Bombyx mori: one gene and its partner. The protein of the gene in region 2 purifies or fractionates together with the protein of the main gene of each other region. This does not show direct contact. Links are inferred from orthologs where the notes say so. Each region holds a gene or a part of one and is shown on either strand. Other genes may lie near its edges.

Region 1 (4,257 bases), on a different chromosome or scaffold from region 2:
ATTACAGTCACTCATGATTTTACTACTAATTTCATTTCAATGTATGCTAATAGACTGAAACTCTGAAAGTTAGTTTGACATTGATTATTATTTATTTGATTACTCTATTCTTTTTTATTTTCAGATGATAAAAAATTCACAAGCTTAAAGAGTATATTAAAATTTTAAAAATCGCATTTATTTCAACTAAAGAATTAAAAAGAAAGATCAAAAGTTAGAAGTTCTTTTCATATTTGAAATAATTTAATCATATTTTATGATTTTCGAATATCATTGAAAATTGCATTGTACTTAAAAGAAGTGAAAGTGATAAATATATATAATAATTAAGTAACAAATAGCGGAGGAACTGGGGATACCTATCAGCGACGCACTCCACCGGGCTGCAGGGCGGGATCGATGGAGACAGTTGGTTGACGAAATCGGACGGAGTCACGATCCTCAGCAGTGAGGAACCGATCGAAGAGAGAGAGAGAGAGAACAGTTTCATATTATTCGAGGAAATTTGTATGATGATTAATAAATGTATACATATAACATAATTTTTTTGGCAATCCTTCCCTTTTTTTGGTGGTTTTTTAATCATATTTATGAAAAAAAAAATTGACATTTTTTTTGAAGTAGATATCTATTTGTGCTATTTTTTTATTTTTTCCTACTTATTCTGATAGCCTTGAGAGGCTATTAAATTTCAGCTTCGCCATAACTTTATAAACTTGACAGTATAAAGGCGGACTTAATGCCATTTAAAATACAGTTCTATACAATACACTTCTATTATGTATATTATCTATTTTTGACGTTGATGTACGATTGTTGTGGGACTTTTTGACGGGAACGCGAGGAATGAAGTTTTGTGATCTGTTTTGTTTTGTCTATTTAGTGCTTCTTCGAGTTTAAAGGCGTAATAACGGTGGTTTATTATCTGTTTAGTAACTGTGTAAGTGCACAAATGTGTGAAAATGAAACAAAGCCGCCGAACGTAATTTCTCGGGATCTTCCAAAAAGTGCACTGAAAAAGTCTCACTAAATGTCCACCATTTTCCTGAGATTATATTTCATCCCATATCATCTCATCTCCTTTCATTTCATTTCGTTTTAATTTCCATTCAATTTAATTTCCTGCCATATTTCATATAAAAAAAGTTTTCATTAAAATTAAAATAAGTCTTGACCTAAAAGTCTTAGTTACCAGGTCATAAAGTCCTTTAAAAATGTGATTGTCGTATACATGTCTTATCTATGAATAATCTCTCAAATATAATAAGTGTATAATCTATGGAATAATCTATGGTGGTCGTGTTTGATGCGGAGTTTTCAAGATTAATTTGTGTAACTTTTTGATTTTTTAAACTCATATGGTCTCTAGATAAATACATCTTTATTAATTACATTTTATTTAAATTATTTACTACTTCTCATAACGTAAATCTACTATAAAACATGGCTGACGTGCTAGATATCGAAAATTCAGAAGAATTTGAAGTCGACGAAGATGGTGAACGTAAGTGGAACAATTGATATTATTAAAAATATTTTAATCAAATTTTGTTTCCTATTCATTATCTGTAAAGTCTGCTCGTAGCTTAAACAAGCAATTATGTGTGGACATAAAACGGGAAATGTTGTCTCAATTAAGGTTATAATTTCCGACTGAATTTTTTTTACATTTGTAATGTTATTATCGCCGGTCGACGTTAAACTTTCACCACTGGGTTTAATTTAAATGCACACATACAAAATGATGCACACCAGACTTGTTAAGACATATAAATCTAACATATAGATTGCTTGTTCCCCATTTTTTCATATTTCGTGCTTTAGGACATTACATTGGTGATTCTTACGTGTTTTATAATTATTCTTGCACTAAATTAAGCTTAAAGTAAACTAAAAATTGTAATGTTGTTGATTTCCAAAAATAACACATAATATACTGGTGGTAGGAGCTCTTGTGAGTCCGCGCGGGTGGGTACCACCACCCTGCCTATTTCTGCCGTAGCAGCCGGGCAGCCGTTGTATACTTGAGACCTTAGAACTTATATCTCAAGGTGGATGGCGCATTTACATTGTGGATGTCTATGGGCTCCAGTAACCACTAAACAACAGGTGGGCTGTGAGATCATGCACCCAACAATAAAAAAAAAATTTAGTGTAAAATTACAGTATTTAAAAATGTTACAGAGGGAATCGCTAGACTTAAGGAGAAGGCACGTAAGCGAAAAGGTCGTGGTTTTGGCAACGAAGCCGGTGGAGGCAGTGCTGCAGAACGGGGTAACCGCGGAAGGTAATACACAGATTTTGTCATTTTCCATTGTACTGAATAATAATATTTCTTGCTAATCAACAGAAGCTCTGTTTCCACTCTGGAAAAACCCACAACCGAACCAGGCTTAACATGTCCAACAGTGGCCAAAACTTTGTATTGTTTTGTTGCAGATACGACAGTTTAGCTCCGGAAGGCGATAGCGGTACACCAGGACCTCAGAGATCAGTTGAAGGCTGGATCCTGTTTGTCAGTAATGTACATGAAGAAGCACAAGAAGAAGATATACAGGCAATTAAAACTTCTTTTATTTATATTTAGAAGATAAAATTTCCACTTTGTATCTACTTGTAGCTACTGTTTGAGACACACCTTAATTTGAAATGGTTATAATTACAAAAAAACAATGTGAAAGATTAAAAGGTATATTCCTATTTAATTAATGTGAAATGTGAAATAGGTTAAGTCAAAGAAAAGATATTTTGTCATGTCAATGTATTTGTTGGTAAATAGACACGCATCAATAGGGACATTGACATATTCATAAAAATGTGAATGTAGCCACTTTGAAACATTAGTGTAAATCTGTGGAATAGTATTGATCAATAATAATATAATAATTTAATAGGACTATAGGTTTTTTTTATTGCCTTTCTAGGCAACATGCGAGCAGTAGACGAGCATATGGCCCACCTGATGGTAAGTGGTCAGCGTCGCTTATCGACGTCAGCAATGCGCCAGGGACAGAGCCAAGCCGCTGCCTACATTACTACATTGCCAATAAGATTAAATTATTATATGACCAATAGAATAAGTATGTAATACAAATCCTTTTTTTTTAATAAAAATATGTCAAGTTTTTCATAGAATATATGCAGACCACTATTACAAATTTTATTGAAGTTCTTTAGGCGCGTTGTGAAAAATTGATGAGAGTGAAATTTTACGATGCACGCGCACCGTGACACAAATTTAACAGAAATGAAGTTGCCCACTAAATCGCTCATTAAAATACGACCGCCGTAACTTGGAGAGTCTGAATATAGCCGCAGGTGAACTTTCGCGCATGTTCACTCGTAAAAAAAAGTGTGATTAGCATTTATTTTTTACTAATATAAATGACAAAATTATTTTTTAATATAATTCATACTAAATATTATTAAATTATTAACATTAAATATATTTATTTAACATCTAAAAAAAAATAAAAATTAATAAAAATAAAGTATAACTTCTTACGCGCGTACATAAGTACACGCACCCTTTTTTTATAAGGATCGGTGATTCGATCAGTGGAAACAATATTAGTTTGTTTTGTTGACAGAATCAATTTTCCGAGTTTGGTGAGATAAAGAATATTCATCTGAATCTGGACCGACGCACAGGCTTCCTCAAAGGCTACGCTCTAGTTGAGTACGAGACTTATAAACAAGCCGCTGTAAGTACTTAGTGCTACTGATTAATATAAGACTTACTGTGCTTTGGTATCCACTTTATACATACTGAATGATGACCGGTTTTTTTTGATAACGCCATCTTGTTGTGTCTTTAAAGCGGTTAGTTGCCCTCAATTAAGAAAAATAGTATTATTATTCGCCAATAGATGTCAGGAAGAGTTAATTTTTGAAAACACGAATAAAACAACATTTTCTCAAAATAAATCGTAGCTAGATCGATTTATCGTCCCCGAAATCCCCTGTATACTAAGTTATATGAAAATCGTTGGAGCCGTTTCCGAGATTCAAATTATATACATATATATTAATATACAAGAATTGCTCGTTTAAAGATATCCACTGTATACATCTTAAACTTCGTATGTATCTTTTTTAATTGCTTTGTTTGGATGAAAGAATTCACGGCCCGCTTGATTATAATGGTTACTGTAGTCCATAGACACCAACAATGAAAATACGCCATCTAACAGGTAACATGAGTTGAAACATGACTTCAAGTCGAACCATATTACTGCTTCACAGCAGACCTAGACG
Region 2 (4,293 bases):
AAGTACTAATTTACTGTTTCGTTATTATATAAATGTAATGAATATTAACTAATAATACATTTATTACTAAATTATTTTGTTTTTTAATCTTACATATCACGTGTCTCCAAAATGATTTTCAAAAAAGTATAGTGCAGGAAATAGGAACTTCTACGTTTCCCACATTCAGACCTCCACACGACTTAGTAATCCAGAGCACAAAATTATGAGACAATTCGAATAAATAACTCAAACACATTAATGTTGTAAATATATTGTATAATTAAAAAGAAACATTTCACTCGCACATCCACCACGACACACACATAACAAGAACATGATAATCAAATGTCTCATAAAATCTTGAATTGCAATAAATCATAGAATACTATTCTCTAAAATGTCAATTTCATTTAAAATTTCATTCTTTTTTGACATTTTCTCTTTTTGATCTTTATCAGGGCTCTTAAGAAGCCCTGCTTTTATTTTTTCCTCTAGAAACTCTATTTCTCTAAGCTTTTTTCTGAGATTCTTGAGGCGTTTTGTCGGATCAGACTGAGATATACTTTCAGTCGGTACTGACTGACTAGGTACGGTTGGTTCTTGTATTTCACATTTGGCAAGTTTTTCTGCAGCTTCTTCAACACCTGTAACTAAAAATTTAGAGTTCATAAAAATCAAAATTCTCTAACCAAATGTTCACTGCAATAATATTGGTTATTTTTAGTGGTGTGATTGAAGATTACATTTAAAATATAAAGTAACTAAGTTCAAAAATTTAAAATGGGTAAAGTATTAAGAATCTTTAAAAATAATGTATCAAAATTTTTGTGAACTATCGGCTTGATAGCTCTTGTCATTTTTTAAATATGTTTTTGGAAGCTAAGGTTTACATATTTACTAAAAATTGCCTTAAACGTTCATGTTCACCAGCCGTGTATGCCAGCAAAATAATAATCTTCTATAATATGAATAGGATAGTATGCTTCCTAATATTGCTATTGAGCTTTTTGAGACTGCAACTTAAAATCCCTAATACTAATTATTCCTCAAAAGTTATTCTGTAAGATTACCCTGTCTTATTCTTTATTTGTGAAAGCTATTCATAAACATGACAATGTGTTGCTGTTTTGACTAGATTAATTTCCCTTAACTGCGTTTGAACTCCCTGTCAAGTGTCCTTCTATATTCTTTGTCACTTGATGAAGCTGTTGTGGCCTAAGTGATAAGAAGCCCGGTGCATTCGTATCAAGCGATGCAATGGGGTAGGAATCTGCAGTCAGGTACCATTTTTTCTAGTAAAATAAGTACATAACAAATGTTCATGATTGACTTCCACTGTGATGGAGTAAAATCGTGTATTAAAAATAAAACCCATAAAATTATAATCTGTATAATTAGTGGTGGTAGGACGTCTCATGAGTACACAGGTAGATAACACCACCCTGTTTATTTTTGTCGTGAAGCAGTAATAGATTTTGCTTTGAAAGGTGGGGCGGGGCAGCCATTGTACTGTAAAAGGTTGGTGGTATTTAGGTTGTAGATGTTTATGGGCTCCAGTAACCGTTTAACACCAGGTGGGGCATGATTTTTTCCAACGAAATAAGAAAAAAAGCATATTTATTACTCATTTCATCCTTAAGTTTTTTTATTCTAAAAATATTATATAGCAAAGCTCTAGATAGTTTCTATAGCCAGGGTGATATTACTGCAGGAATCTAGCAAGTGCTGGAATATTTTCTTTTATGTAATTTAAGAGTACCTAGCGTGCTAGAGGAAGAGCACCAGCTAGATGGGTGGACCAATTTAAGGAGGTGACTAGAGGCCAGATACAGGAAGCGGTACTTATGGCGCAGAACCGGACCGAGTGGAGGAGATTGACATACAGTCATGATCCTCAGCATAGAGGGAACGACCAGAAAGAAGTCACCTCACACAGAAAAGTACCTTAAATTTTTTCATGAAATATTAATTCAGTAAGGACTCAAAGCTTCATTTATTATATATGAGCCCTATAGATAAGCAGATGAGCTCAATGACCATTTGATGATGTAATAACATATTACACCAAGTACCATTTTGCTTCAGGAACAACAAAAAATGTTTTTTTTTATACCTGTCTTCTTTTTCTTTTTCTTCTTTTCAACAGTTATAATCATTCCAGGTATAGGTTGGATAGTGCTTCGTTGACCTTTCTTCTTTTGTGCTTGAGCTACAATCTCAGGTGTAAGTCCAACCGGAAGTCCATCATTTTGCCTGGCCCTGAACTGTTTTCCTTTGCTTTCATACAACGGTACCTCTTCTTGAGGTACATAACCTTCTTTTATTCTTCTCGGCTTGCGCCAGGTTCCATCAGGTCTTTGAGTTGCAGGAATGAATTTACTCCCTTGAATGTTGAAATTTTTAAAAGTTAAGTTTAAATTAATTTTGTAAAGTTTTTGTAATTAGTTTTATCTTTGAAAATCAGTAAAAGTTAAGCTCGATTAGAAATATATAATAGACTGTTAATTAACAATAATAGGTAATATATTTGGATGAAAAATTCAAGTATTTAAAGGACAGTTCTTCCTATAATTATTGTGTGAAACGTTAAACTCTAATGTTTACAAAAAAATCGTATTGTATCAATTAATTCGAATATCTTCAATCACACGAAACGTGGTTAATGTGAAAACTACTAGAGAAAGCGGTGAGGCTTGAAAATTCTTCAATCGTGAATTTTTTTGTACACTAACCATCAGCGTCGTGCTCATAAGCCGTTGGTGTTGACATTATAATACATAAGATTTCAATTTGTATTTCAACATTTATAAATCACGGCAATGTATTCTTAAATAATGAGCTATTTTCGTGGTACTCTACACAGTCAAACCAAGATTCACACAAGAAACTATTTTGACAAATAAAATATTGAACCGCTTTGTTTGACACATAACAGAGGGACCATAGATTGTTACTTTTTACATATATAGCACTCGGTTTCTTTCTCTGCCATCGTTACTCGTGTCGAGTTTGATGGTTTAATTTTATTATTTCAAAGATACATTAAAATACTTTGTTAAATGAGAAATAAGATTAATTTATCTGAAATAAAATGATATGATACAAAATTAAAGGAAATAGTATGCTAGTAAGATGAGAATTGACTGCTATTTTAGTTAACTTTTGAGAAAATATCAAGAATTCTCGTCTAAATACTTATGAGTAGTTTTTACATGAAAAAAAAACATATTAAAATCCACTATCGTCACCTTTTTTAACTTATCCTATAATATTATATCCTTTTTGTAACTTCAAGATTTCTCCAAAAAAAAAAACAGCATTCAACAAAAAACACGAATGTAGACCCAAAGTTAGAGTAGCCAATGGCCTTATACAAATTAAAAAAGAACAAATTAAATATACTGTGCACATCTCATTTGTTTTGATTAATTATTTTAGTTATTTTAATTTTAAATAGATTCAAGGAGCAGGTTTAAAAATGCGTAAACGAAGAAGGATTTTCACTCCAATCAAAAACAAAGGAAAGAGTATAACGCAATTCCCTCAAATTTCTAATAAAGGTTTGATCAACATAACGAACTTTAATACACAATTGTAGGATATAAAATTTTCCTGATATGGTAGTCTCGTTGGTTGGTGGTTAAACTTTTAGCTTAGGGGAGGACCATGTTCGATTTGAGTTTCCTTCAATAAAGATGCAGAATATTGAATATCGAATATAAATTCTTAATTTAAAAACGAATTTTTTTGCTGAACTGTTTTAAATTCAAAGCTTACACCGGATTCGTATCTATAATTATCTATTGTATTCCCGCGTCTAGTTTATTATATATAATGTCAGTCATCATAAAATCACTAACACGCTAGTAGTCGAAGATCCTGATAAATGCAAAGTATTTAAAATGTCGTGAAAGTAAGATACGCGTGATTAGAGCGAAAAAATAGTTACAATTACATCTTTTAAAAACTGAAGAAAATAGTATATCACATATTTTAATGTTTTTTGTTTAAACAAACAGTAAAAGAGGTGACAACTGCTCGAGGGAGGCTGCAGGGAGCGTTAATGGAAATATTGGAACCGGCATTGGATTCTGATGACTCTACTGAACTTACACCAGGGAAAAGAAGGTATTTATTCATAGATATCTATTATACATTTTAAACTAGAATTGCATTATATTTAATATAGTTTAAGCTAATAAATAAGACTGAGGCCATTGAGACTTCGAGGAGTTTGTCATGATAGTTGATTGATGAAAAATCAAACTAGACACAACCATCAACGATTAAGATCATGACAACAGAAGAAAA

What was found. Proteins that work in one complex are often made in the same cells at the same time.
Region 1: the proteins of wibg (region 2) and Y14 purify together in Drosophila melanogaster (affinity purification with western blotting; 3 studies listed by BioGRID, with this or other methods). This does not show direct contact. The link is inferred for Bombyx mori from reciprocal best matches to the Drosophila melanogaster genes Pym and tsu.

The regions. Positions count from the first base shown.
Region 1 is NC_085108.1:4,111,749-4,116,005, reverse strand, and holds the start of Y14 (RNA binding motif protein Y14), read left to right. Parts: upstream 1-1,305; 5' UTR 1,306-1,443; coding exon 1,444-1,504; intron 1,505-2,184; coding exon 2,185-2,287; intron 2,288-2,439; coding exon 2,440-2,557; intron 2,558-3,590; coding exon 3,591-3,704; intron 3,705-4,257. Other genes in the region: uncharacterized protein LOC101745843, read right to left, coding at 1-15.
Region 2 is NC_085114.1:15,048,756-15,053,048, reverse strand, and holds wibg (partner of Y14 and mago), read right to left. Parts: upstream 2,934-4,293; 5' UTR 2,752-2,933; coding exon 2,715-2,751; intron 2,366-2,714; coding exon 2,096-2,365; intron 633-2,095; coding exon of another isoform or gene 627-632; coding exon 358-626; 3' UTR 238-357; downstream 1-237. Other genes in the region: protein lin-37 homolog, read left to right, coding at 3,461-3,542, 4,002-4,110. UniProt on the Drosophila melanogaster protein: Regulator of the exon junction complex (EJC), a multiprotein complex that associates immediately upstream of the exon-exon junction on mRNAs and serves as a positional landmark for the intron exon structure of genes and directs post-transcriptional processes in the cytoplasm such as mRNA export, nonsense-mediated mRNA decay (NMD) or translation.